7 linked regions of the Daphnia pulex genome follow. The main gene of each other region encodes a partner of the protein of the gene in region 4 in a complex. Links are inferred from orthologs where the notes say so. Each region holds a gene or a part of one and is shown on either strand. Other genes may lie near its edges.

The links.
Region 1: THO complex subunit 5 homolog (region 4) and THO complex subunit 4-like share a complex: the UniProt entries of both Homo sapiens proteins name them as parts of the transcription/export (TREX) complex. The link is inferred for Daphnia pulex from reciprocal best matches to the Homo sapiens genes THOC5 and ALYREF.
Region 2: THO complex subunit 5 homolog (region 4) and THO complex subunit 2-like share a complex: the UniProt entries of both Homo sapiens proteins name them as parts of the transcription/export (TREX) complex. The link is inferred for Daphnia pulex from reciprocal best matches to the Homo sapiens genes THOC5 and THOC2.
Region 3: THO complex subunit 5 homolog (region 4) and THO complex subunit 3-like share a complex: the UniProt entries of both Homo sapiens proteins name them as parts of the transcription/export (TREX) complex. The link is inferred for Daphnia pulex from reciprocal best matches to the Homo sapiens genes THOC5 and THOC3.
Region 5: the proteins of THO complex subunit 5 homolog (region 4) and THO complex subunit 1-like are in contact, whole or in part, in a cryo-EM structure (PDB 7APK), measured with the Homo sapiens proteins. The link is inferred for Daphnia pulex from reciprocal best matches to the Homo sapiens genes THOC5 and THOC1. Residues at the interface, in NP_001002877.1 of Homo sapiens: Tyr52, Arg113, Lys120, Asp124, His127, Leu128, Gln131, Asn132, Leu134, Tyr135, Glu136, Met138, His139, Thr145, Lys146, Glu149; in NP_005122.2 of Homo sapiens: Glu60, Arg145, Arg146, Leu147, Ser148, Ser150, Gln151, Lys285, Met286, Leu289, Val296, Tyr297, Phe298, Leu302, Ser304, Leu307, Leu310, Gln311, Ser313, Asp314.
Region 6: THO complex subunit 5 homolog (region 4) and chromatin target of PRMT1 protein-like share a complex: the UniProt entries of both Homo sapiens proteins name them as parts of the transcription/export (TREX) complex. The link is inferred for Daphnia pulex from reciprocal best matches to the Homo sapiens genes THOC5 and CHTOP.
Region 7: the proteins of THO complex subunit 5 homolog (region 4) and THO complex subunit 7 homolog are in contact, whole or in part, in a cryo-EM structure (PDB 7APK), measured with the Homo sapiens proteins. The link is inferred for Daphnia pulex from reciprocal best matches to the Homo sapiens genes THOC5 and THOC7. Residues at the interface, in NP_001002877.1 of Homo sapiens: Pro48, Asp51, Tyr52, Tyr55, Cys59, Leu62, Gln63, Met66, Ala67, Gln70, Phe95, Lys99, Leu101, Asn102, Ala105, His106, Arg108, Leu109, Gly112, Arg113, Gln115, Thr116, Ala119, Lys120, Val123, Tyr126, His127, Leu130, Leu133, Glu136; in NP_079351.2 of Homo sapiens: Ala21, Asp23, Ile27, Leu30, Val31, Phe34, Tyr50, Met53, Leu54, Leu57, Cys60, Glu61, Met64, Gly65, Thr67, Leu68, Val70, Tyr71, Asn74, Met78, Tyr81, Ile84, Tyr85, Ile88, Glu89, Ser91, Ile92, Ala95, His96, Lys98.

What each region holds. Positions count from the first base shown.
Region 1 is NC_060025.1:2,695,818-2,699,041, forward strand, and holds THO complex subunit 4-like, read right to left. Parts: upstream 1,988-3,224; 5' UTR 1,780-1,987; coding exon 1,594-1,779; intron 1,433-1,593; coding exon 1,277-1,432; intron 1,218-1,276; coding exon 1,104-1,217; intron 1,040-1,103; coding exon 734-1,039; 3' UTR 501-733; downstream 1-500. Other genes in the region: uncharacterized protein LOC124203100, read left to right, coding at 1-120, 187-356; ribonuclease Z, mitochondrial-like, read left to right, coding at 2,265-2,545, 2,601-2,787, 2,856-3,081, 3,143-3,224. UniProt on the Homo sapiens protein: Functions as an mRNA export adapter; component of the transcription/export (TREX) complex which is thought to couple mRNA transcription, processing and nuclear export, and specifically associates with spliced mRNA and not with unspliced pre-mRNA.
Region 2 is NC_060017.1:3,796,407-3,800,099, reverse strand, and holds the end of THO complex subunit 2-like, read right to left. Parts: intron 3,649-3,693; coding exon 3,397-3,648; intron 3,319-3,396; coding exon 3,049-3,318; intron 2,985-3,048; coding exon 2,526-2,984; intron 2,449-2,525; coding exon 2,029-2,448; intron 1,954-2,028; coding exon 1,804-1,953; intron 1,738-1,803; coding exon 1,638-1,737; intron 1,576-1,637; coding exon 1,458-1,575; intron 1,399-1,457; coding exon 1,242-1,398; intron 1,179-1,241; coding exon 1,059-1,178; intron 997-1,058; coding exon 933-996; intron 872-932; coding exon 804-871; intron 736-803; coding exon 640-735; 3' UTR 501-639; downstream 1-500. UniProt on the Homo sapiens protein: Component of the THO subcomplex of the TREX complex which is thought to couple mRNA transcription, processing and nuclear export, and which specifically associates with spliced mRNA and not with unspliced pre-mRNA.
Region 3 is NC_060028.1:7,657,440-7,661,172, forward strand, and holds THO complex subunit 3-like, read right to left. Parts: upstream 2,377-3,733; 5' UTR 1,923-2,376; coding exon 1,743-1,922; intron 1,676-1,742; coding exon 1,519-1,675; intron 1,459-1,518; coding exon 1,254-1,458; intron 1,188-1,253; coding exon 1,026-1,187; intron 950-1,025; coding exon 697-949; 3' UTR 501-696; downstream 1-500. UniProt on the Homo sapiens protein: Component of the THO subcomplex of the TREX complex which is thought to couple mRNA transcription, processing and nuclear export, and which specifically associates with spliced mRNA and not with unspliced pre-mRNA.
Region 4 is NC_060020.1:6,248,670-6,252,604, forward strand, and holds the start of THO complex subunit 5 homolog, read right to left. Parts: upstream 2,801-3,935; 5' UTR 2,478-2,800; coding exon 2,358-2,477; intron 2,263-2,357; coding exon 1,828-2,262; intron 1,757-1,827; coding exon 1,571-1,756; intron 1,514-1,570; coding exon 1,381-1,513; intron 1,319-1,380; coding exon 1,012-1,318; intron 944-1,011; coding exon 718-943; intron 651-717; coding exon 584-650; intron 516-583; coding exon 318-515; intron 222-317; coding exon 106-221; intron 40-105; coding exon 1-39. Other genes in the region: 60S ribosomal protein L13-like, read right to left, coding at 3,231-3,497, 3,559-3,732. UniProt on the Homo sapiens protein: Component of the THO subcomplex of the TREX complex which is thought to couple mRNA transcription, processing and nuclear export, and which specifically associates with spliced mRNA and not with unspliced pre-mRNA.
Region 5 is NC_060026.1:6,262,967-6,267,044, forward strand, and holds the start of THO complex subunit 1-like, read right to left. Parts: upstream 2,801-4,078; 5' UTR 2,685-2,800; coding exon 2,643-2,684; intron 2,563-2,642; coding exon 2,480-2,562; intron 2,419-2,479; coding exon 2,126-2,418; intron 1,924-2,125; coding exon 1,701-1,923; intron 1,642-1,700; coding exon 1,536-1,641; intron 1,470-1,535; coding exon 1,201-1,469; intron 1,138-1,200; coding exon 1,008-1,137; intron 945-1,007; coding exon 736-944; intron 681-735; coding exon 537-680; intron 463-536; coding exon 315-462; intron 1-314. UniProt on the Homo sapiens protein: Component of the THO subcomplex of the TREX complex which is thought to couple mRNA transcription, processing and nuclear export, and which specifically associates with spliced mRNA and not with unspliced pre-mRNA.
Region 6 is NC_060027.1:3,847,523-3,851,133, forward strand, and holds chromatin target of PRMT1 protein-like, read right to left. Parts: upstream 2,242-3,611; 5' UTR 2,086-2,241; coding exon 2,030-2,085; intron 1,862-2,029; coding exon 1,693-1,861; intron 1,631-1,692; coding exon 956-1,630; 3' UTR 501-955; downstream 1-500. Other genes in the region: protein timeless-like, read left to right, coding at 19-374; tRNA selenocysteine 1-associated protein 1-like, read right to left, coding at 2,534-2,991, 3,054-3,218, 3,286-3,436, 3,503-3,611. UniProt on the Homo sapiens protein: Plays an important role in the ligand-dependent activation of estrogen receptor target genes. May play a role in the silencing of fetal globin genes.
Region 7 is NC_060023.1:12,053,787-12,056,712, forward strand, and holds THO complex subunit 7 homolog, read right to left. Parts: upstream 1,547-2,926; 5' UTR 1,400-1,546; coding exon 1,390-1,399; intron 1,329-1,389; coding exon 1,208-1,328; intron 1,142-1,207; coding exon 715-1,141; 3' UTR 501-714; downstream 1-500. Other genes in the region: transketolase-like, read left to right, coding at 1-480; ataxin-7-like protein 1, read left to right, coding at 2,725-2,812. UniProt on the Homo sapiens protein: Component of the THO subcomplex of the TREX complex which is thought to couple mRNA transcription, processing and nuclear export, and which specifically associates with spliced mRNA and not with unspliced pre-mRNA.

The sequences.
Region 1 (3,224 bases), on a different chromosome or scaffold from region 4:
CAGACCAGCACGAGTCCAATTTGTCCCAGGGTCAGACATCTAATGAAATTACAACAGTGGAAGAAGTCAACGCCGAAATGAACCTCATACTTCACCCCCGAGCCGGAATTCTACTCCACAGTAATACCTGATTAAATTAAATATAGTTATGAATTAATAGTAACAAAACATTTGTAACGAAAACAGGTTTCCAATTCTCTAAACCAACCAAGTTTAACAGCGAAGCCGCAGCCTTCGCTCAACCATCACGAATTCCTTACCGTGGAAGTTCAATTCCAATCATCGACAGCATCAACGAGGCTGCAGTAGCTCAGCAACTACGTCAAGCAATCCGCCGTACACTTCGCAGCTCATAATAAGCACTTCACAATCTTTATAAACATGACTTTGTTAAAAAAAAAATTTGTAGTTTTTCCAATACACTCAATTTGATACAATTGGACGTTACTAGATCTTTTGGCTTCTACACATCTCGGGAATCACAAATAAAAAAACAATGGTTTTTCGCTGAAAGCTTCATTTTTTTTTGTCTTAAAACCAGGTCTGACAGGTTTGTCTTTCAAAACACTGAATTTGTATGAAAAGAACGAAAGAAAAAACATTATTGAAAAAGTGGTGGTGGTGAGGAGAATAAGTAAAGGTGATCAGGAGTTTGCGTCAGTGATTCAACCTCTGATCCACCACGTGTGGACTCAAAGAAATCAAATAATTTGGTGAACATTACACGATTGCGTTATTTCAATTCACTCCTGTATGACTCCAACTCGGCATCAAGCTCATCTGCTGTCGGTGCAGGCTGTTTGGGATTGCGTTGGCGAGCACCACCAGCACCACCTCGCTGACCACGCTGGCCTCCTCCTCCTCCTCCTCTCTGGCCTCTGTTGGAAGCTGGTGCACCAGTCCTCTTTTGTTGCGGCCCGTTGTTAGTGTTAGCTCGAGGGCTGGTTAGTCGGTTGGCGATTGTGTTCAAATCGGAAGTAGCCATCTGAATGACCATTGATCGACCATCCAATGGGACTCCGTTGTACTGTTTCATTGCCTATGGAAAAGAAACAAATATTGATGCTGTGTGTCCTACAGTTGACAAGTTTCATGAAGTTTACCTTGACGGCATCAAGACGGCGCTCAAACACAACATCAGCTGTACCGAGAGATCTGCCTGATCTGTCATAATGCACAGAAGCATGTTTCAATGGTCCAAATTCCATAAAAAGTTCCTATAAATAGAATTATTCAATACATGTTCATCATGACAGAGAAGCAATATATGTTATACCTTAATGTCTGCATCTGACACACCAAAGTCTAAGTTAGAAACAACAAGCTTGGAAGAGCCGCCTCCAGCAGCATTCGGTGCAGCACCCAACCTGGGATTGCTTTTCCTTGGTCCACCTTCATACATGTCATGAGACCAGTCACCATCTGGGTTGCCCTAAAAATAACATACACAAAGAGTCAGCACTATTGCATCACGAAGACTGTAAGATACAGACTAGCTTGGATTTGAAATAGACGAACAAGTCAACCAAGGATTATGCAATACTTTCTGATAGAACATAAAAAAACAAGAAGAATAACTTAACAAATATTTACCTTGGCGTAAGGTGCAGCACGACCCCCAGCATTTCCCTGTCTTTGATTACGAACGGGTCCTGAGCCGGCATTACGGTTGCCTCCACGAGAACTGCCACCACGACCGCCGCGTCCTCCACGGCCCCGGCCGGCTGAACGGCTAGTTTTGATGATATCATCCAAGCTCATGTCAACTTTGTCGCCCATTTTGATAACAATAAGTTTGTGGAGGACTTGACAAAATTAAGGACTATCAATTTAAAAACGAAACACAAGTTTAAGAAAGATTCAATAAGAACGAAACAAATGGATGATGGTGACAGGGACGGTACGACAATGACGCCACGCTCAATCTCTATGCCAAGTTAACGAATATGAGCCTAAGCAAACTCTCAATGGCGCCCATATTGCCCGTTTGCCAGTTTCAAAAACAAGAAACATAAATAATTTAATACTCCTTTTATTCTAAGTGATTTATTTTTCAAATAATAAATTTAAATTTATTTGATTCAATTTTACAAATAAAAAACAGTTTAGTTTCAAATTAAGTTTTTAACCGACGTGGTTGCCAAGCCCGGTGTTTTGATTCTGCTTTTCAACCCTCTAGATGACAACACGTGTTTAAAGTTAAAAGTTAGTGCCTGTAAATTTTAATTAGGCCCCATAATATCCCGATTATCAAGAAATATCTAATGAATTTGCGATTTGCATTGTTAAATGTTGTAGTTGTTACTGTACGTAGTTTTCATTCTAATCAAAAGGTATTCGGCGATATAAAAAATAAAAATCGTGTGTTAAATTTACTCGCCAACATGCCGAAAGATACGAGTCATGTCGCACGTCTTCAATCAGAAAGACAGGCAAAGAAGATTACTAAAACAAAATACCCACCAGGAACCGTAACATTACAAGTTCTGGGTTCTGGTGTCCGTGGTGCACCACGGTCCCTCTATATGTTCACCGATCAATCATGGTAACATTTTAAATTAAAGCAAAAGTATTTTAGTCTAATTCCTGTTTGCTTTTAGTTATCTCTTCAATTCCGGAGAAGGATCTCAACGCTTGGCCCATGAGCACAAGTTTAAGCTGTCCAAAGTTGAGAACATTTTCTTCACCCGTACATCTTGGCAAAATGTGGGTGGATTACCTGGAATTTCATTAACAATTCAAGATGTTGGTGTTCCCAATATCACACTCCATGGACCACCTGGATTGGTAAACAAATAACATCTAAGCACACATTTTAATGCAGATCCAATAATATCATAATCTAATTTTAATAGGGTGAATTATTTACTGCTGCCTCCAGATTCATCATATTAAAGAATTTACAAGTCAATCATGTGGATGCTACTTCACCTGCATCATCTTATGAAGATGCTGCCATGAAATTAAATTATGTAACTATTATGCCCAATGATGATGCAAAATTACCACGTTCAGCTTCTAGTTCTCCTATCGAAGAGGAGGATGTGACCAATTATTATTGTCGAGAAAAAGGAAATCCTGGTGAGTTATCAGTGGTTACAAATTATTAGAATCGAAATGTAAACAAAATTAATTTTCTTAGAGGACGTTCCAGCTGCTAAAAGGACTCGTGTTGAAGATGAAAGTGACGAGAACCCGAAATCCAAAGCCGTTCTAGCTTATGT
Region 2 (3,693 bases), on a different chromosome or scaffold from region 4:
TTTCTTGTTTTAGTGATATGAAAAAACAAAATTTCACTGCCAAGTAGTCAGTAAAGTAATTTTTAGAAGTAATTTACCAGAAAGACAACACTAACAGATGTTATAACAGCTGCTTTCATCCTTTCGAGCACGCTTTTGATCATGTACAAAACTTCAAATGAAGAAAACTTTGAAAAGCAGACGACAAACAGAAAACAAGATAAACAAAAGCGTGGTTAAAAACAAAACTACTCTCCGAAACCTAAACAGAATCCTTACGAGAAACTGCGATATGGTACTATTTTTGTTTTTGTAATAATATCGCGGTAGCCCAACACTGCTAAAAACTGCAGAACTTGTTGCGCAGGTCAGACCTATGATCTAACTGTTTAGTTACTGACCGCAAGTTATTAATTTAAAGAGAAAATAAAGCTCCGTTTTCTTTCTTCGTTGTTTTGTGTACTTTTAATGATACCCTTAAAAGTAGTATTCAAACTAGGAGAATTCTATGGTGAAACAAATACGATGAAATTAATTTTATTGTCTAGGCCTGAAGTAAACCATAAGGAGTGAATATGACTGGAAAAATTTCTTTCACTAAAAATAAATTTCAATGAGAAAAATGAGCAGACGCATCAATTCCTTTTAAACTCTCGTTTTTCATCTCCGTTTGCTGTCCGTGGAGCGTCGGGCTCGTTCTGTTCTATCTGCGCGGTCAAATGAACGATCCGATGCTTCTCGTGAAAGAGGTGATTCCTATACAAAAGGAAAAAAAAGGTAATATTTAAGAGAAAGATTTAAAAAAAAATTGTTGATCATAATACTCTGTTGTGTCCTCGTCTATCAGCGTTTCCATCAGAGGGACTTCCGTTTCCATGCCTTGGGGATCTTACTGTTAAATTAACTAAGAAAATGGTAACAGTTCACTGTAGTTTTTTCATAAGAAAAGTTACCTTTTTCTCGTTCGTCCTCCTTTCGACGTTTGACATCCATCAAAACATCCTCCAGCACCCGATCCTTCAACAAACAAGCAAGAGCTTCAGAATTGAAAAGCAACAAATATGAAGAAATGTAACAACTTTGTCTACCCTTTTACGCTCGCCTTTCCTTTCACGACGTTCCTCCTCGGTTTCTTGGATATTACGTCGTTCCTTGCGATCTTCTCTGTCACGCTCCATCCATTCATCCTCACGGTCAAGCTGATTACATAATTCAGTTACATTTAATAACCATGTAATTTTGGAGTTATCGTGTTTTCTTACCTTGCCCGAATGAGGCCTATCTTCTCTATCTTCTTTCCGTTCTTTTATCCTCTTCTCTCTCGTACGGTCAGGAATTTCTTCTCGTTTTTCAATCGATTCTTTGTGCCGATCTTTCTCTCCTTTTATTCTCTCTTCCTTTACTTTATCCTTTGTCTCCCTGCCAAAATAATAAAACTGTTAAAAGTGCCGTGATTCTAAAGCTGGTTAGAAAATTACCTTATTTCTTTTTCTTTTTTAATCTCCTTGAGGCCAGCAGCGACTGGAGTGCTCGACTGAGATTCGCTTGGAGTAGAGGTAGGAGTATCATGCAAATTTGTTGAAGCTTTTTCCACCCCTAATAATATTTATATTTAGTTAAGGTGAAGCAATATTCAGGAGAAATTTTTGGAATTTTACCATTTACTCCTTCATGCTTAACAATTCCATTCTCAGGTTGAGCACCAGGATTTGCTGCCACAGAAAGTGGATTGGTACTTTGAGGAGTTGTTTTAGTTACCTAAACAAATTAAAATAAACATCCATGTTTTATCGATGAAACAATGAAGACAATGTTCTTTCTTACAGGTTTCCTCGTCACCAGATGGAATTCATATTCTGGAATTGACGTTTTTTTGTTCTTTAATTGACCACTATATGAAATAGCCATCGCTGATAAATCCTGTCGCTTGTCTCGTTGCTCACTGCGTACTACTTCGACATTTCGATCAATCACCTGTTAGAATGTATAACAAATAAAATTAAAAAAAAAAAATTAATTTGTTTCAACAAAGAAATAACAAATAATTACCCCGACAAGAGGCGTGATAACGGGGAAGAATGGCAAGATGCGTATTAGGACGATCAGTGCATTTCGAATCTGGACATAGTCTTTTGATTCAAGACATACAACTAGCGCTTTGGCAATCTTGTGGTGCCACTTGTGAACAACATGACGATAGTTTTCAAAGTCAACGTGATCGTTGTTTTCCGAAGGCTGGTTGCCGACGCGAAATTTGGTAACGAATCCAGGATAATTGGCACACTCTTCGTCAAATATTTTCTTGCTTGAGTGCCAATGCATTACAGTTTCAAGCATGGCACACAAAAAGCGACCATAACGATTTGCCTCGTTTTCCGTACAAGAAGTCACAGTGTATGTTATATCACAAAAGATGCGATCGTAGCAAATCAGCGTTGAAAAGTTTGGTGTTTTCAAATTGTGCATAAGCTAAAAACAAACAACAACCCAAAAATAACAAGTTAGCCAGAGAAAATATTCATGATGAGCAACTTAGACGCACGTACCTGTACAAAGCGAGCGCAAAATAAGGCATCTGTCGCGGTGAAAACGCATCGAGGAAAAAGGCAGAGTTGAAGAAACTGGGTGATCGTCTCCGTTTTTGCTAATTTAGCCGATCGACAGAGAAACCAGCTGTCTTTTTCTTGTGTTAATCTCGCCATGATACGTTCATTGTGATCTTTCTGTTTCTTTTCTTCTTCCAGAAGTTTGTCCATCAAAGCCGTACAGCGATCCAACTCTTTCTTCCGTTTACTGGCTGGCAGATCACGATTTTCATTTGTCTGTTGAATGGCTACCTTCAGGCGTTGCACTTCACGTTCGTACGCAGCATTTGGTACTGACAAATCGTAGACCGTCAGCGACCAAAAAGTGGCAAAAAATTGAGGAGATAGATCTTCCCAAACTCTGGCCGCGCACAAAGGACGAACCGATTCACAAATGGGAGTCATGACCAATCGTACAGCCTAATAAATTCAATTTTGGGAATCATTTCAAGTAAGACAAACATATTCAAGACAAGCGACTTACCTCTAAATACTTTTGAGTCTTCTGGGCCGGAAGTAAATTCTTTGAATTCTTTTCAGCACGCCGCAATTCATCGTATTTGGAATTGATCGAATGAGCAAACATTGGTCGCGCCAGAAAAAATGCGACATCAGCATGGATGTGGTAGTCGGAGAGCAATGATCCTAATTGTGGAAGGCGTCTAACATAGTCGTCGACACTCATATTCAAAGCCAAGAATGTTCCAAGCTGAACGAGCGTATCTTGACATTGGTCGTATAGTTTACCAACCAACTACATGAAGAAAAATCAAATAAAAAAGATGTAATGCTATGTATTTTTTAAATGTAAAATATTTGTAAAAAGAAATACCTTTAGATGATTATTCTCTGTTTCTCGATAAACAACGCAATTGCGCTGCTGTGCGATAAGAAGACAGAGGGGAATGGCCAAATTGGATTCGAGCAATGTTTCCTTTAAACGCTGGGCAGCTTTCTTGGTAACCCGAACCTGTCCAAAATGAGCAGCTTCAGCTCTTAACAGTTCACCGCCTTGCATTGCTTCCATGTGTTCCTTTGTCATTTCCTCGGACGCTTCGATGCCCCCCATTTTATGCACCATTTCCTGAATGTGCAATAGTTAAACATTAAGTTGTTTTTAAAAGATATT
Region 3 (3,733 bases), on a different chromosome or scaffold from region 4:
CACGAGAAGCATTCCGAGTATTTCACGTTCTAGCTGCGGAGAACAATGAACATGAATCTACTCGAGCAAAACGATACATTCGTCTATGTGCCGCTTTGCTGCCTATATATGGGTGTGTGTGTTTAGTGTTTACCAACTACCGTTACGAAATATCAAACGACATTTTAGCCTTGTACATAATCAACGGCACGTATGATGTAACACAAACTATCAATCTATCTGTTTCTACGAAATATGCTTATTATCACGACAACTTAAATTAATTTGCCTTTAGTAATAGAATAAGGATAGGAATAAGTCTTACCTAGATGGACTGCTTGCATAAAAGCGTCGTATTTCTTTAAACGTTAACGCCCTGTTTTTTTCATTATTGACTAAAAATTTGTGCCGAACGGTCATCACCTTTTAACAAATATGGGATCTAGTAATAACGAAAATTATTATTGAGTAATTAATTATGTTTGAACGTTAAAAAAAAGGGAAAATGTGTCCTGGAACAATTCAGTTTTCTGGAAAAGATCTCTGATCTGAGATCCATTTTACTTGTATCTCTCTCAACACAGTTGAAGTTTGTAAGCTTGGCAAATAGTTCTTGACAAGAGTAAACAAGAAAATCTGCAAGTGAAAAAATAAAAAAAAAAAAGCTGGATTCTGTATAAAACACGAGACCTCCTAGTTTTGATTCGTATGGGCCCATCACTCGTTAGAGAGACCAAAGAGCTTCACAGTTCCGGCGTCTCTGTTTCCGTCGTCTTTATCGTCACAGGCGTAGGCCAGCAGGTGAGAGCGTGGATGCCAGGCGACTGTGAAGGTTGGCGTGTCAACTGGAATGCTGATAACGCGCTCGCCTGTACCTACGTGGCTGACGTCGATCAGCAAGTCCTCTGACCCGGACGCCAACATGGACCCATCGTGACTGAAACTCAATGTCCGAACTGGCCAATCCAACCTAAAGGGGAAACACCCAGTCAGTAATTGAATAACCTCAATAGAAAACGGCACGTTATTATTGGCATTAATGTTACTTGGAGAAAGTGCGCAAACAAGCAATTTCATCGGCATCCCACAGAGAGACTAGGGCGTCGGCCGACCCAGTGGCAAAGTACCGTCCAGTGGGGTCGAATTCGATGCAAATGCAGTTGGCGGGGTGAGCCTGTGTGACGTGAACGGTCGTAAGCTCTGGGTAACTAGATACAAGAGAATTGATAGCGTCATGCTAGATTGAAAGCAGGGGGAAGAAAATTCATCATTACTCTAATATGTGGATGCAGCCTTGCCCACTAGTCAAAAAGAAAAGATTGCTAGCCTTGTTCCATTCTATTTCGTTGACTTCAAACTTGAACGGATGTTCTATTTTAATCTTAAAATTCCTGGCATCAATAAAAGTAACAAGGTCTTCCTTATTTCCCACTGCAATGGAATTTCCATCAGGTGACCACGTGATGTTGATATTTTCTCCTGTCAAATCACATTAATGAAGGATTGAATGTTTAAGCATAATTTCGTAATTAATTGTACCCTTGGTGTTTACTGTGGCGACACTCTTTTTAACTCTTGCATCCCAAACTCTCATGGTTTTGTCTCCACTGGCGGTGCTGAGCAAATCAGGATTGGTTTCGTGCCAACATAGCTGATCGACACTGTCATTGTGTCCCACAAACGTTTGCTCCTTAACCTGAAACAGAATGCCTCAAGCTCCATTATAATTGCTGCATGATTGATAAGCCGGGACTAATACTAACCAGTCTGTCGCTTTCCATAGTAAAAATGCACACCGTCTTGTCAAAGGAACCCGACGCTAACCGTCTTCCATCGCAATTCCAATCAACCGTGTGAACCTTGGCCGAATGTGCAGAGACTTCCCTCGTTCGAGTGTGCGTTTTAAAATGATTTTTCAGCTCTTCCAATTCGGCGACTGCCATCTTCTTATAATTTCGGGAAAAAAAAGCGGTTTATATACCTTTACTCGCGTGTCAACAAAACACAGTGTGTGCAGACGAACTAACGCGAAGCCGGTCGTCCCGCCATTTCCAATGCCAAGTCTCTTCTTCATCCGCCAGATGGCAGTTGGAGCGCGAAATTTGAAATTCCTAACTCACTAATAAAAGAAAAAAGGGGTCGGGCAAGGAATGCGTGGTGGTAATGTCGTCTCCTCAATTGGCTCTGATTAGTCGGACGTTAAACGATACGTTTATCGACTGGCTGGCCCAAAATAACAAAAATAAAATAAAAAAGGCGTAGGGTGGGCGGATAGGTGGAAATGCTTTTGTTACCAAACACGGGACACACACCGTAATCAAGCGTGACTAGTACACACACACACACACACAATGAACTCAACAAGCGAAGGGCGTCCAGCCTCTATCAGACGAGATCTAGCTGCATGAATATTATACTCTCTCTCCCAAGTCCCAGCTACACATATAAACTATAGCTGTGGAGCTTGCGCCATTTTGAATGTTATTACACGTCCGATAAATATATATATATCTACACGGCAATAATATGCGCCAAAGCCAAAAGAACCGAGTCCAAATCAACTGGGATGGGCAGCAGCAGCAGCAGCTATGCCCGTTTCTTCAAAAACTACGACTATATAGATTTCAGTTTTCTTATATTTTGTTCTTTTTTTCTTTCTTTCACAGCGCGCAATCATCAAATGATCCGTGTTTGGGCATCGGGGTAATATAAAGCAACAAAAAGTCGTAGTCTCTCTCTGCCAGTGCATGCTGGACCCACAGCGCCGGCACACAGCACATAAGACATCTACAACAACTACAACCAGAACGGCTTCTATATAACGCTAACGACTAACGAGTTAGCATCGACTTTACAAGAATTTACAGCTGTATAGTCGATGGAAGAAGAGAGCGGGGGTAGTAAGGAGAAAAAAAAGGGAAATTTACGAGTCCCCCTCTTCTTCTTCTTCTAGGAGAGAAAAGAAAAAGAAGACGGCCATAAAATAAGCAAATTTCTTGCCCGTTAACTGACGATAAAAGCGACTGGGCGTCCAAGCGCGCCTTGTGGCCTGGCCTGGCCTGGGCTGCTGCTGATGCTCCTACTGGACCTCCTTTTTCTTTGGCTGCTCTCTCCATCATTACACACACCAAAAGAACTTCTTCTTCTTCTTCTTCTATTTTGATAGCCAATCGGTCCCGTGTGTGCGTAATAACATATCGCAGTCGTAAATCTGCGAACGTCTCGTTTCGTTTTGCCCAAAAAGATTCTTTTTCTCTCTCTTTCCCTGGACCTTTTGGCTGGTCACTGGACTCGTCTCGTTGGCCTATACCCAAAGAGTAGTAAAATAAAAATATATAAGAAATAAAGGAAAAAAAAGGGTTTTTTTTCCTTCTATTTTATTTAAAACTCTTCCTTCTCCCCTTCAAATGAAAACGTCTATAGGGTAATACGATTCCGATGATACGCTTTTTTGTTGCTGGTGTGCCTCGACACTTTATGGAGATTGGACCCGCTGGCCCGTTATATATATCCCGGTGATTTACAACGCGGATATATATATATATAAATACAGCAGGGCAGCTCTGCTGTGTGTGTTGTAACATTAAGTATATAATATATATAGGAGAGTTTCTATTACAATAGGCATTCCGCCCGACGATGATTGCGTTATTGTTGCCTGTTCCATATTGATGAACTATGCTAATTGCATTCCATTCTTCTTCTTTTTTAGACCTTTTTTTTCGAGATTCGCTGGATATTATTAGATGAATAA
Region 4 (3,935 bases):
AAGTTCAGTACTGGGAACGTTAACCTCCGCTTCGATTCTCTATTTTTAAAAATTACGTAAAATATCACAAAACCGAAGACGAAAAGTTTTAGCTATAATACATACGCGTATAATTTCACTATTTTCTCTATTGTGCTTTCCATTCCAGTTAAGTTCAAGTGAACAAATTGGTGTAGAGTTCGGGTAGTCTACAGGAACCATGAACATCGCGAGTAGTTTTGCTGGAATTCAAATACAAAAAAGGTTCCAATAATAATTAAATTCATCATACAGGATCCTTAACAGAAATTAAATTTTAAAATATTTTACAACTATACCGGATTCTCTTTCAAGAGTTGCTTTGTAAAACGAAAGGCTTTTTGGATTTACTTCAAGGAAGTTCAACAGCCGTTCAAGGTTCTTTGACGTTACGAGGCATTCTTCATACGTAGAAGACGTCCATGAGACGAGTCGAGAATAGATTGTTGGTGGAAAAGTAGCATTTGAGTCTTGATTGAGATCAAGTTCACCCTTTTCTGTTTAATGTTAAAGAAACTATGCATATTTTAAAACTGTTTTATAACAAGTATGAAATAAGACTCACCAAGTAAGTGTAAAACCTTAACAAACTGGAAACGATAAGTAATCCTACTTTTTAGGGCAAGAATAACCTAAATACAAGTAAACACGGTTATTCTTGTTTTACTATGTTATTGTTGTTTAAAAAATTATAGAGACCGTTTCAACGAATTCCGTGTTGATGAAAGATTGAGGTGTCGATTTTACGATGCCGTTGAAATCTAACCCAGCTAAACGTTGGGCCCAAAGGTAAGGTTTTCCTTGTTCAGTTATTTTACCGTTGATCATAGACCTTGCTTGAAAACAATTGACCCAACTGGGCGATTCATCCCCATGGTCGTTTGGAAAAAGTCCGGAAAGGAGATTATCGATCATACAAATCTGACTAGTAAGAGAAAGACTTTTTTAAAAGACATTTCGACATATAGAAAGAAAGCAATAATATAATCTTACTTTACTCCATCGTCTTGCTGAACGGGCTTGCAGTCGACCGTGACGATATTTAATGTTGTTAAATACGTGAAGTTAAGGACAACGCGTTCAATCTTAAGTTGAATACGTAAAGGATGCCTAGTCAATTGCCAATCTGTTTTCATTTTATTTGAAGTCGCGGAGCGTTTGTTTGTTTCATATTCCGTCTCCATGTCAGATTCCGCTGAATCAACATCCTCGAGAATTTCGTCCAAACCAGTTTTATTCTTTGACCCAAAATTAATAGCATCTTCCATTCCACCTTCGATAGAAATTTGCAATGACGGATCTGCGGGTTAAAGTCATATTTATCGTAACGATTAAGAAAACTTACGAATTTAATAAAATTACCGCATGCTTCAATGAACGCTTTTATCTGACTGTACAAAATGTAAAGTGGATCCGGTAATAACACAGCCAACTCTTTCTGAAACTTGATTCGCTCTACAGGCAAATTAAGCTCTTCTTGTAAGGGTCGCGTGGACTTTCGAAACATAAATATTAAAATCAAATTCTTTTAGATTTTGTATCACTTAATTACCTCAAGTATGGAAGTAAGTCTGGGTAACAGGCTTTCAAGTTGTTTTTGTTTCTGACTGATTTCACTGGATGCCTTTTCTCGATTTTGTTCCAGACTACGGCACTGTTCCGAAAGACGTTTCCGTTGTTCAAATTCCCATTCCAACCGAGCCAAAGTCAATTTGTGTTGATTACTTTTGGTCAATTCCTAAATGTAAAGAAAACAAAATAAGAATACTTTTTGGTAGTGGTTGGTAAACAATAGGTAGATTTTCATACCATTTTAGAAATGCTACTTGGGGCCTCCTGATAAAACTCCTCAACAGGAACAAGTTCAATGTCCTCATCTTTAGACTTGAACTCCAAACACTTGTCCACTTCTTTCTTCAGATGAAAGACTTCATACAGCAGATTTTCTAGTTGTAAATGAAATGTATCCACACGCTGCTTGGCATCATGGGTTGTATCCCTTGCCTTTTTCAATCTAAGCTTGTCTATTCGATTTAACTTCTTCAATGTTACAAACAAAAGAGAAGCTTCTATTCTTTTTTCAATGATCTTTTTACTGGTTTCTTCATCGGTTTTTCCAGATGTTTTCAATTGTAAAATGTCTGTCATCAATCTTTTTAATTCACAACATGTTTCTTTGAATATTTTCAAGTCACTTTCCCCTGTCCGGGATTCAACTTCCTTGTCTTCAATGTCCATGAAATTCTAGAAAATCATGCAAATGAAAAGTTAAATTCAGCACTATATCATTTACCCAATAAAAAATCTAACCAAAGTTAAGAGAATTAAGTAACAAGTACCTTGCAAAATTCCTTCACTTTACTTGCTGCTGCCATAGATGAAACATCATTTTTGCTTTTTTTGGGATCTTGTTTAATAGATTCGGAGTCACTTCTTTTAGTTTTGGAAGGTTTAGACATTGTTAATACCGCTTCCAAGCTTGTTCCGTTTACCAGTTTACTATGTTAAATAAGTCTTGTCTACGTCTACTATATGCAAGGCCGACAAAACTGTATAACGTGTTGAATCTTTTTATTCTTAAACGGGTACACGTAGCGGTAATTTTAAGAACTAGTTCCGTTAAAATTAAAATTTTCTTTTAGCTTTATCAGGCTTTATCAAAGAAAATAGGAAAATAGCCCGAGTCCTGGAACCTTGCTTTAAATAAATTGAAATTTTAAACAATACTCTTAATCTTGAAAGGACTGCGCATTGTATCAATGATTTAGAAAGAGGACCTAACCGTTTAACATTACCTTTACATGAGTAAGGGAGTTTCCCGATAGCTTAAAAATATTCAACCACCAACATTTCATTTCTCTAACCATGAGTTGAGATATAGACATCACTAATTATCTCAAAGGGATCGTCAAGTATGCAATTTTCCTGTTATACATTTTATCCTTCCCATTTAAGGATTAATAATTGGTATTCAAGCAAAATGACACCTTATACCTATAAATCATGTTAAAACTACTGTGGGTTATGTTTGTGAATATTTTAAAAAGGTTTCAAACTTTTGCCTTTCTTATGTCTGACTTTTACGAAAGTTTTCCACCAAATAAGCTGTAAGAACTGAGGCAATTCGACGTACGTCTGACACATTATAGACAGGATAATCTTGTATTTTTGCCGTTTTTGGTTGAAATACAAAATACAATCCCGAGAACGGTTTACTTCTTCTTGCCACCCTTGGCAGCCTTGGCTTTGGCGGCTTTAGCCTTTGCCTCCTTGGCTGCTTCAGGATCTTCAGCCGCTTCCTTAGCTCGCTTAGCTCGGATACCTGCAAGGCGTGCTGTTGTTCGGGCCGTGCGGAGTACAGCATAAGGAGAGAATTTGCGATCGGCCGGAGTGATGGCGCGAGCCTTCTCCAATTTGTAAGACCTGGTGATGGGCATAACCTCAGTAGTCAACTGTTGGGCCAACTTGATTTCCTCAGGCTGAAATAAAACATAATGTTATTGTAAAGTGGTGGTACACAATCCTTGTCACAATTCTTACAGTAGCATCAGTCTTCTGGGGTTTCTTGGCATTGCGTGGGAAGAGGATCAACTTGCTCTTGTAGACCTTCAAGCGAGTGGCGTTCAACTGCAATGATTCCACAGACTTGTTACGACGACGGTGGTCAACAGCAATACCAATTGTTGGGGCGAAACGCTTAGGGATCTTGGCAGCCTAAAACAAAAAATTCAAATAAAAATGATCACATTAATATATAAAACTTTGGAGCATATGGCATAATAAAACATTTGCTACACTAAACCAAATGGATTATTTAACTCTTCGACAATGAAACCAGAGCAATTTGCAGTTTGATTTGAGTCGTGTCTGTCATAATTTCCACAATTCAAAACATGATACATTAATAGTAAATATGT
Region 5 (4,078 bases), on a different chromosome or scaffold from region 4:
ATCATATTATTTGAATAAGCCAACTACAAAACCAGTAATATATCAAGATTATCCAGGGATTTCCAGACAAATGAATGTGAAAAATTACCTGACACCTAACAAACTCGTCTGTATTTCTTCTGGATCAACTATTTCAAAATCTTTGTTTAACAGCAAAACCCGTGCAAAAGTTATGAGTCTCGATAACAAAATTCAAAATACCTCAAAATATTAAAAAAAAATATATATATATATTCCCAAATGAGAACCTAAATCCCTGACTTTTCCCTGTATTGCAGAATGGGAACCGTGATATTCATCTGATTTTACTCTACCTGCATGTCCTTGGCCAGTTTGCGAACGTGCGTTTCCAAGTAATCTGGCAGCCGAGTGATAGGAGTATTACCATGAGTGAAGAAATGTAAACTTCGTCTAGCCAAAAGCCGCAAAGCACGCCACCCAAAATTAGCCTCACTAACTCGCCTGGAAACACGAAAATCGCTCATTCAGTTAAAACATTTTCGGAAAAATGTAAGCTTTAAAGTGCAAATTTTTACTTGTACTGGCTTTCCACTGAAGGATCCAGTTGCTCAATGGCTTCCTCAAAATAGTTTTCTAATGTAGGTAGAAAATCTCGATCTTTAGATCGACAGGCAGCCATGTTATCAGGACATAGATTCCACAAACGATTCATCTCAGCGCTAAAGAGAAAAAGCTGTAATTCAATGTTTTCAAATAATTTCATAATTTACCTACTTTCCAATAATGCACTTATTTCTTTTTGAAGCTTCTCGAATCTGATCTCCAAGACTTCTTTTGAGCCGTCTTGGTCGGCCAACTACGATCGTCTTTTTTTCTCCATTGGTACCATCTTTTATAGTATCATTATCAGTGGTTGAGCTGGTTATGCTGGGCCGGAATTCCGGGCAGCCATCGTTCTTCCAGTTGCTCCATAATTCTTCCCGCTACATCCAACAAACACCGATGGATGATATTTTTTAAAACTACTTTTATACAACTCAGTATACCTTTAGTATGTGTCGAATAGATTGGACGAAAGAAGCGCCATCTGGAGGTGTATCTTTCAATAACCGATAGACTTGATCGATAGCCTCGGAAACCCACGTAGTTTGTTCTTCGTTGAGCTTGTGAGTTTCGCTATAAATAGAAGCAATTCAAGCGGTTGAAATAGTCTAACTAATGAAACTTATTGAAACTAACTGTTTAAACTTGACAGGTGAATCCAGATATTGGAACATAATCAGAAACTGCAGCAGAATGTAACGTCTGAAGTTGGAGTCACCGAGCTGAAGTTCGAGAAGATTTTGACTCGTCAAATATTTGGCGAAATATTGTTGGACATTTCCACCATTCATGCTGGTTTCATTCATATCGATGTTTAATGCCACATCTGCCTCATCCCATTTAGAGCGGTTTCTCCGCTCATCCAGTTTGATAGTAGAAAATGCAGACAAAACATCACTAGTATGCTAAAGAATAATTGTTTTTCTGTTAGATGGAAAATTTTAACTTGAAATACTTGATGTTTTAGCTACCAAACAAAACGTTTTCCACGGGATTTTCGTATAGCACTGATTAGGGTTTCGAAAGAAATCTTGTAGGGACCAAAATTTTTTGTACAGATTGTAGTCGGAGCTCAAACTACAAAACAAGAAAATTTAGAAAAATATTGCAATAACTTGTCAATCAAATATATATACCTTTCTTCTACTTCCATTGCATCCTTGTGCTTTTCAGAATTAGCAGATATATCAGCAGCGTAGCTTTCATCTTTAGCTCCAAATGTCGTCAAATTATCCAAATTAAATTCGCTTACTACGTTAAGTCCGGATCGTTCAGAGAATGGGAAAAATTTTGCAAGAAATAGAAGAATTCGACCACAGAAAACCGTGTTCTGGCTTCGGGACAAGCGCCTCAGCAGATCTGAAAAAAAATATACATATAAAATTCATTTCAGCAACACAACTCACATAAAGCGAAACACTGTAAATGAATTTAGCAGAGTGGTATACATTGAAATAAGAGTAATGGATTGAATTCATATCAATACAGAATTAGATGCATCCAGTTACATAAATATTTGTGTCATACATTATTAGAATTTTGGAAAAATGTCTTTACATACCATTGCAAAGGCGAAGTAAGGTATTTTTACACTGATTGAAGAAAAGCTCTTGTTTCCAAATCGCTACTTTCATTTCAACCATGTAGAAAATTTCCTCACATTTTTCCAGAGACAGGATGTCAAAAGCATCTGTGAGCAAAATCACAGGCAGTGTTGGAGAACATACTAGAGCTACTGCACAATCCAGACTCAACTGCAACAACTTTTCAAACAATGGTATGGAAAAGTTTGAGGAATCACTCAAAAATCTGTCTCTAAACGCCTGATCCCATACAGCTTTTTTATCAGCTTCCCTACAATAAATATGTTTAATTACAATAATATGTAAATACTTTCTGCTTTGATTAAATTTACCCAAGATGAGCTGTATTGTTAACTGAAAGTAATTCACTGATAGTGGGTGGACCACCCAGTTTAAGAGCTTCAGAAATGGAATCCTACAGAAACCAAACACAGAAGACATAAGATTTTTCAATTTATTTCAAATATGGCTCATTGATAGATTTTTTTACTGTACCAGAAACGAACACCGAGTTTTCTCAAAATCAAATATTTCCATTTCAGTGGTTTTTTTACAAAGTAAGAAACATAAAAATAGTCGTGTTTTCGAAACGATCAGACGACGCTTCAAAACTTGGTTGCGTTGCCAAGTTTGTAAATTGCAATGTTGCCATTCTAAAATCAACTTGATTTTTTTTTCCGAATCCCGGAAAGCGGAAATTCTGGAAAGAAGTAAATGTCAAACCATTCAAGTTTAACTAATAAGTAATCGGTGATAATCAAATAATTTATCTGTTCAAAGAATATGTTTTGACTGAGATTACCGTTTTGACGTTTTCATACAAAAATGTTACTCGATTATCATCCCCTAGATGGCGAGTCGACGGATCAATAAAAATGGTGTTCTACAAAAGAGAGTCCTTTTTTGAAAAATCATCTAACGCGGGACTGCACCGAGTTTAATAAAGATAAAATTCCCATATAAAAACTACCTAATTTTAAGACATTTCTCATGTTTAATGTAATCGACAATAAGTAGCCTTTTTGAACTCAATATTTTCAATAGCATTCCAATGCTACTCATTTCACTACTAAACAATATTTAAGCGCATTCAAATACTCGAATGTTTTCAACTTCCATTCGTATTACTTTTATCATTTGATTTCCTATGAAAATCGGCAGGTATTGCCTGCCATATTACAACTACAGTATCGACTGCACTATCTACCGAGATTTCATAACCTTGTTCTAGTCTCTATATTTGAACTACCTCTGTTTGCTTACGAGCTCTGATTTTATGTCTACTTCCTGAAGTGCACCAGGAAAAGGCATAGAGGATTAGAGATATCGATTCTTTACTGCAGGGAACCGCCGTTTGTGGCACTTTTTAAAATCCTATTTCGCCTTTGATCATCTCAAATAAGAATAAATTAAAAGGAAATTATTAGTAGCATTATAAAACACCAGATAAAAGATATAAAATTTTACTTATTTCAAACCAATTTATCTGTGTCATTTGGACTGCAGGACGTCATCAACGAAAGATGACGCGGCACGTAAGCTGAAGCAAGAAACGCGAATCCTTAGGCCTTATTCTATTGTAATTAAACATGTAGATGGCGATCGCTTTGAGAGCCTTTAATGAGAAGAAGTTGTTTTCTCTGTTCAAATCGTCCCTGTGAACGAATAGAAGAAGGATGATTGCCAAAAACTTTGTCGATTTGTTTTTTATTTGCTGGCTACAATAACTCTTTGTCAAGCCTTTAATGTAATTATCTTGGGTTATTTACTCTCTGCATTGGCTAGTAACAATTGATGGGAGTAAAGGATAACTCGCAAAACATTACTATATCTCAAGCTAAAGTACGCAAACAAAACAGTCACAACGCTGTCTCCAGGGCAAAATGCCAAGATGTACTTGTACTTTGAAGTATCAAAATTGACAAAAAGTT
Region 6 (3,611 bases), on a different chromosome or scaffold from region 4:
ATGTATCGATAAATATAGGATTTCAGAAACAACTCGATTGGATTCAGTCGTCTTTATTGACGGCCTGTGCAGCACGTTTGGGCATTTACTCCGACCACGAATTCCGTCATCCAATTACCTGTTTGAGCTTGAAATTGAATACGCCATGCCCGATAGTCCCTTGGACGGAAGCGGAAGCCTCCGCATTGAGTTCGAAACCCTTTCGCTTTTTTCTGCGTCAACTGGGTCTTTTCCCTTCGCTTCCTAACGCTGGCACCTATCCAAGGATCCCACTCGAATGGTCACCAGACACTCTGTACAATGTTGCTCTTTCGTTGGGTTCCGTTGCCCATCAGCAAGTTGATTTCGACTTGAGTTGTGTAGGAAAATTGTAGCTTATCCATTTAATTTAGCTTCGATCGGTCCCGCTTGATTACTGCTGGCCAATCATTAGAGTAATTTGTTGTAATTTTGTCTATGATCAGCGACGATTAAATGAAGGAACAAAAATCAAATTAGTGTTGAGGTTAATCATTTGTATTTTTTGGGATGAGTTTCTCTTTCTCGTTTCACAGGCACACCTTTTCACACTCAAGTCCTCGGATGAAATATGAATGAATTATAAAAAGATACATGTGCTAAGTGCGCCGTAACAGGAGGGAAAAGCAAGAAACACACGGCAAAAAGGGACTCCAAAAACTGGGGGAAAGTACAAGAACCATTTAATCAAGTGCTAGAATGAAATCAAGACAAGGTTGTCCAAAATCTCTTTTTTCTGTCTAGACTCTTCACAACAGTCCAACCATTTTCTCAAAGACAAATTCTGAATTGGATTCACTTTTAACTTTAAGGACTAAAACATTGTTAATAGTCAATCAAGACTTGGCGAAGGGGAGTTATTAGTAAGAAGGTTCTTTCGTTTGAAGTTGGGGAGCAGCACAGGTGAGGTAACGACTGGAGAAAGATTATTGCATATTTAATTCATTTCAACGTCCCCAATTTTAGACATGTAGGATTCAATATCATTGTCTAGAGCGCTACGAGTCTTTTGCATGTACTGATCCAATTGCTTGTCCAAATCTTCTTTGCTGACCTTGGTAGAGCCACCTCGACCACGCCCTCGACCACGTCCGGATGTCTGACCGCGCGGAGATGTCGGCAAGCTGCTTCCTCCACGACTGGGTCCCTTACCACCACGTTGGCCTCGTCCTCTTCCTCTTCCACGCTGGATACGACTTTCAGCTTGCCCGGTAATCAATGAAGATGTCATCTGCCCTCGACCACCTCGTCTTCCTCTCACGCTGCCTCTAGCACGCGAAGGTTTGGTCGGCGAACGATTGGTTGTGGCAGCAACGGGGGCTGGCTTTTTCGATGGAGAAATGATTCTTCCGCGAGTGCTTCTCTTGTTTCCTTGTCCACCGCCACGAACGATTGTTTGGCTGACAATGGGCTTCAGTCCGCCCCGGCCTCGAATTATCTTTGTTGGGGTGACCGTTTGCCCTTGCGTTCGACTTCCTCGCAGAGATCCTCGCGACTGACTCCCGCGACCAGCTCCACGATTGGTTGTGAGTCTCCTTTGAGTTTGGGTGGCCGTTCCGCGAAATCGAGTACTGGTGTTTACTGTGGCTCCAAGGCGTTGTTTGATGCTTTTCTGAATAACAGTATAAATGATGTAAGTATATCTGGTTATGAATTAAAAACGAGGAATTGCACCTTTTTCAGTTTCAAAGCAGCACTGACTGATGCATTTCGTCTTTCCATCTGTTGAGCTAGTCTGCTATTCTTGCTTGATGCCTTTTGAAGATTAGCTGCATTATTTCTAGCCCCTTGCAGTTTTCCAGCCAATTTCTGACCCCCTGCTGAGCTTCGTAATTTGGAGAATCTGTAACGAAAAATTTTCATGCGTTAAAAATCAGCAAATGAGAAGAAAATCAACACATACTTTATAAAAGCAAGGAAATTCAATGTTTAACAGGGGGAAAATTGCGGCAAACAACTATTTCAATCGCATATACGACATAACAAACCCAAATTGCCTAATGATTTATACCTTTCATGTAAGGATAAGGAAGTTGAATTATTTGGTACTCTGCCTCCTGAAGCCATTTTGTGCTAGAATACTGCTGAACCAAAGTTCAATTACGGTCAAGAAAATGCCGAAAACAGATAATTTCGAGCTATCTAGAAATGTTTCTCGTGAAGTCAATGAAAACAATTGCTGATGTTTGCCCGGCTGTGAACTAATGACGCTCAACTTTTTTCGACTGCTATTGGGTAGTAAAGTGACACCTAGCGGAAAAAAGAAAGTATGTCGTGATTTACGATTGAGTAAGAGTGCATGTTTTAAAAAATGTGGGTGGAGGAAATGTTTTATGGGTGTAGAATCATGTCAATAATTAAATATACTAGATAATACAGAAAGTGAAAGAATTGGAAATCTGTATTTATTTGAAATCAATGTATTCATTCTGTAAAACAAAATCAGATGACAAGCAGAAATGAATCTTTGTTTTTTTATCGTATGAGATGGTCAATAGTGTTTTATAAAAAGAAATTAGGCGGCCACTACTGTAGGAGTACTGCTTCCGTTTTCCTCAGCTTTAACTGCCGGAACGGCTTTCTCTGGATTGAATGTTGTCCAGCGAGCTTCATCTAGTGCATCCCACAAATCCTGATTGCGCTCAAAAAGTTCTCTGTTCAGTTTCTCAATATCGACGGGTGTATTGTGTTCTATGAGCTCAAACTCATCTTCTTCAGGTTGAGCAGGCATTTGCCCAGCAACGCCATATCCGGCATAAGCTTGTTGACCATCATAGCCGTATCCGCCTTGGTAACCATATCCTTGCCAGCCACCGTACTGTTGCCAATAGGCTGGATCGACGTACTGTCCGTAGCCAGCTGCTGCAGCAGCAGCTTGAGGTTGAACTGGCTGGCCGCTGGCTGCGGCCTGGACAATTGACGAAGCAATCGATGCAGTTAACGTAGAAGTAGAAGATGTACTGGATGAGGATCCTAAAAGTTAAAAGAGTATGAAATGAAATGTACTCCAAAGAAAAGTTTAAGCGTGCATTTACCAGGTATCATGTTGTAATTACGAGGAATAGCCAATGAAACTCTAAGTGGGTTGCTGCCGAGTCCTCTGTGACCTTGCATATGTGTCAGCGCATCTTTGTAATCACTTTCATTAGAAAAATTAACAAACGCATAGCCGCGACTTTCTCCATTGCTGCCTCTGACCACTAAACATAAAATACGAGAAGTTCAGATAATTGCCAATAAAATCATTACAGAAATTTTACAAATTACCCTTTGCCAATTGAACTGAGTTATATTTTGCAGAAAAACATTTGTAAAGGCCATAGTCATCTACATCAGCACTCAAATCTCCCACCCACAGTGCATGATCGGCTGTAGAACCTTTAGTGTTTGTGCTGTGATTTAACTTGAAACGGCTTGGCTAAAAGTGGGAAAACAGATAATATAACTAATATAAATTATGGTAAATTAAAAGTTAATACACTACCGGCTGACTGTATGGAATGATTTTGCCATTCAATTTGTGTAGAACTTCCATTGCTTGCTTTTCATCTCGAAACTGACAAAATCCAAAACCAGCAGGTAATCCAGTGTGC
Region 7 (2,926 bases), on a different chromosome or scaffold from region 4:
ACCAAAGGAATTTGCTTCATTCGTACATCTCGCCCCAACACAGCCGTCATCTACGAGAACGAACAAGTTTTCTCTGCTGGAAAGGGTCACGTTGTTCGTAGTCACGATCAAGACGATTTGGTTATCGTTGGCGCCGGCGTTACACTCCACGAAGCGCTGAAGGCGTCCGACATGCTGATGGAAGCCGGCATCAAGGCTGCTGTCATCGATCCATTTACCATCAAACCCATTGATCACGATTTGCTGTTGAAGGAAGCCACTCGTTGCAACGGCCGGGTTTTGACCGTTGAAGACCATTACCCAGAAGGTGGATTGGGTGAGGCTGTTGCTTCAACTCTAGCCGAACAACGAAATATTATCGTCAAGATTTTGGCAGTTCGCGAAGTTCCCCGCTCCGGTCCTCCAGAGGTTCTCCTAGAACATTTTGGAATCGGCGCCAAGGCTATTGCCGAAGCCGCGAAAAAACTTGTTGCGTTGTAAACGCCCTTTTTTTAAGTCACTCATTCCTATACCCATTCCTTACCAGAGGTCTATGGATAGTTGAGAAGAATTGGTGGTGTTTTTTGAAACATTCTTCTATGGCATTCCAAGTCGTATATGTACCGTTTGGATAGTTTATTCATACATAGCTTTTTTGGTGTTTCAAATGATTTTTATTTGTTAGCATTATTATTCAAAAATAGAAAAAAGGGATGCATACAAAATGAACAATTATTAGGATGCTTCATCATCGTTAAGAAGTTGCTGTAATCCTTGGATAGTTGAAATGAGTAAGTGAAATTGTTTGCGTCTTTGTTCTAATTTGGCCTCCAGTTTTTGACATTCACATTCTGAAGCTTCCAGTTCCTGTCGCAATAGGGATAATTTCTCTTGGTTGCTCTTTCGATCAGGCTGTGTTTGAATAATGGCAGCCAAAGCATCATATTCCATTTTATTCCTGCGAATCTGTCTTGCTTCTTGCAACTCCTTCTTGGTTGCTTCAATGTCTTTTTTAGCTGACACAATTCCTTCTTCAATCTGGTTGTAGAGGTCGTCATAGTGCTGCTGTTCTGCAGTGTTCATTTCACAGCACCTCAAGGATTTTGTGGCAGCAAATTCACATTGGGCAATCTGACCAATCATTCTAGCGTAGGATGCTTGTCTGTAAAACAAATAAAAATACATCACATATAGAGTATAGAAGAATTTTATACAAAGATTAATTTACGTTTCTTCAACACTATCTGTAGAGTTGCACCAAGCTAGGAAACCTTTAAGCAATACATTAAGTCTTCTTTCATCACCAGTTCCTTCGCCATCAAACAACAGCCTCCTTCGGATGATCTCTTCTACATAACGAAGTACAAGATGAAAATTAACCGAAATAATATTACTAACAAGTCAAATTACCATCTCCCATTTGTGAATAATGATTGGGATCAAAATAAGACCAATAATAATACAATTTAACTGGTAAAGCTTTGAGAATATTGAGATGTCAAACCGGGCGAAAGAATGAGATGACAAACCTAGGAGAAATGTCGCTGCGGAAACGCCGGAAAGTACTGAAAAATGAAAAAATATTTTCGTCTGCCGTAAGCGTAGTTCGCTCGTCTTTTGTTTTGTTTTTTAAATCCGCCAGCAGACGACACGCCCCTCAAATGAAAGGAAGGAGACATGGCTTTTTAAAAAATCATCCGATTGATTAGGTATCTATTTTGTTTAGGGTTAAACTTGCATGCCTGTATAAACATTAGCAAAACCGAAAGAGAGCTAGTCCAGCAGATCAGCAATATACTTGGGAAACCATTGAACGGTTTAGAATCAATCAGGTGATGTCAAGGAAAGAATCCAATGAAATGCTGGATCTGGAGTGTTGTTTTTCTCGTTTCCAGATTAACGTCAATCTCTTCTTTTTAATTAAACTGTTGCCTTACATTCTAGGAAAACCTGTTTTTATTGTCCTGAAAATTGAGATTGGTGATCAAGATTGACAGATTCATTTTAAACAGGTGTGTAACTGACAGTGAAAAAATAATTTTGGGTGCAAGATACTTACAAACAACATTTATTTGTAAGTATAAAAGGTGCATGTCAATTAATGGTTGTATTTGTCAAGATGTCAGATGGTTGATTGGTTGGTAATATAAAATAACTGAGTTGAGAGAGATTTGGTACCTCAATGGGGAATTTTCACATATGTGTTTATCAGTTGATGTCATTATGATTATGTGCAGCTTGTTCTCATAGTCATACTTGTTGCAGTCCATGTGTGAAAATTGTAAAAAGATACTTAGCGCAAAGAAAAATGTACTTTTTGAGTTCCGCAATGCATAAAATCTTTTGCCAAAATTAAAAAAAAAATAGACGGACGATTGAGGATTTAAATTATTGCTAGAACGTTTCGCTAGAAGATAATTTCATCATTAAATCATCATAAAATTTCATAAATTGCCAACGAATAGAATCAACAACTTTAGTACGCTTACACATTAAGGTCTTCAAGTGGCAAAGAAACGCAACGCATTTTTTAATTCTAGGAAAAATATACAAGTACTATATTAAAGGTAATTTTGAAATAGTCCAATGGGTGTTAATGCCATAGAGTAATTAGAGGAGGCAAGGCATCAAGGGCAGTGGTAGCTGCCGAGCTGCTTTCACTATAGTTGCAACGCTGTTGCAGGTGAGGAAAGAAGACGGAGTCTCGGAGAGGAGAAATTAAGAAAAAATTTTCTGTTAACAAAGATGGCGTCCAACGATGACAGTCCAACAAGTCTTCATGGCCAGCCTTGGTCTGTTTGGGCTGATAGATTAGGCAGAGATAGTCCATTAAGTGAGTAAATTGCCTTATAAGTTGTCTTTTCTTGATAGCTAACGGATATTTTGTGAAAATTGTTTTGATGGTGTTATCGAATCGGTACGGCTTCGGCCTATCTCGATGGACGGC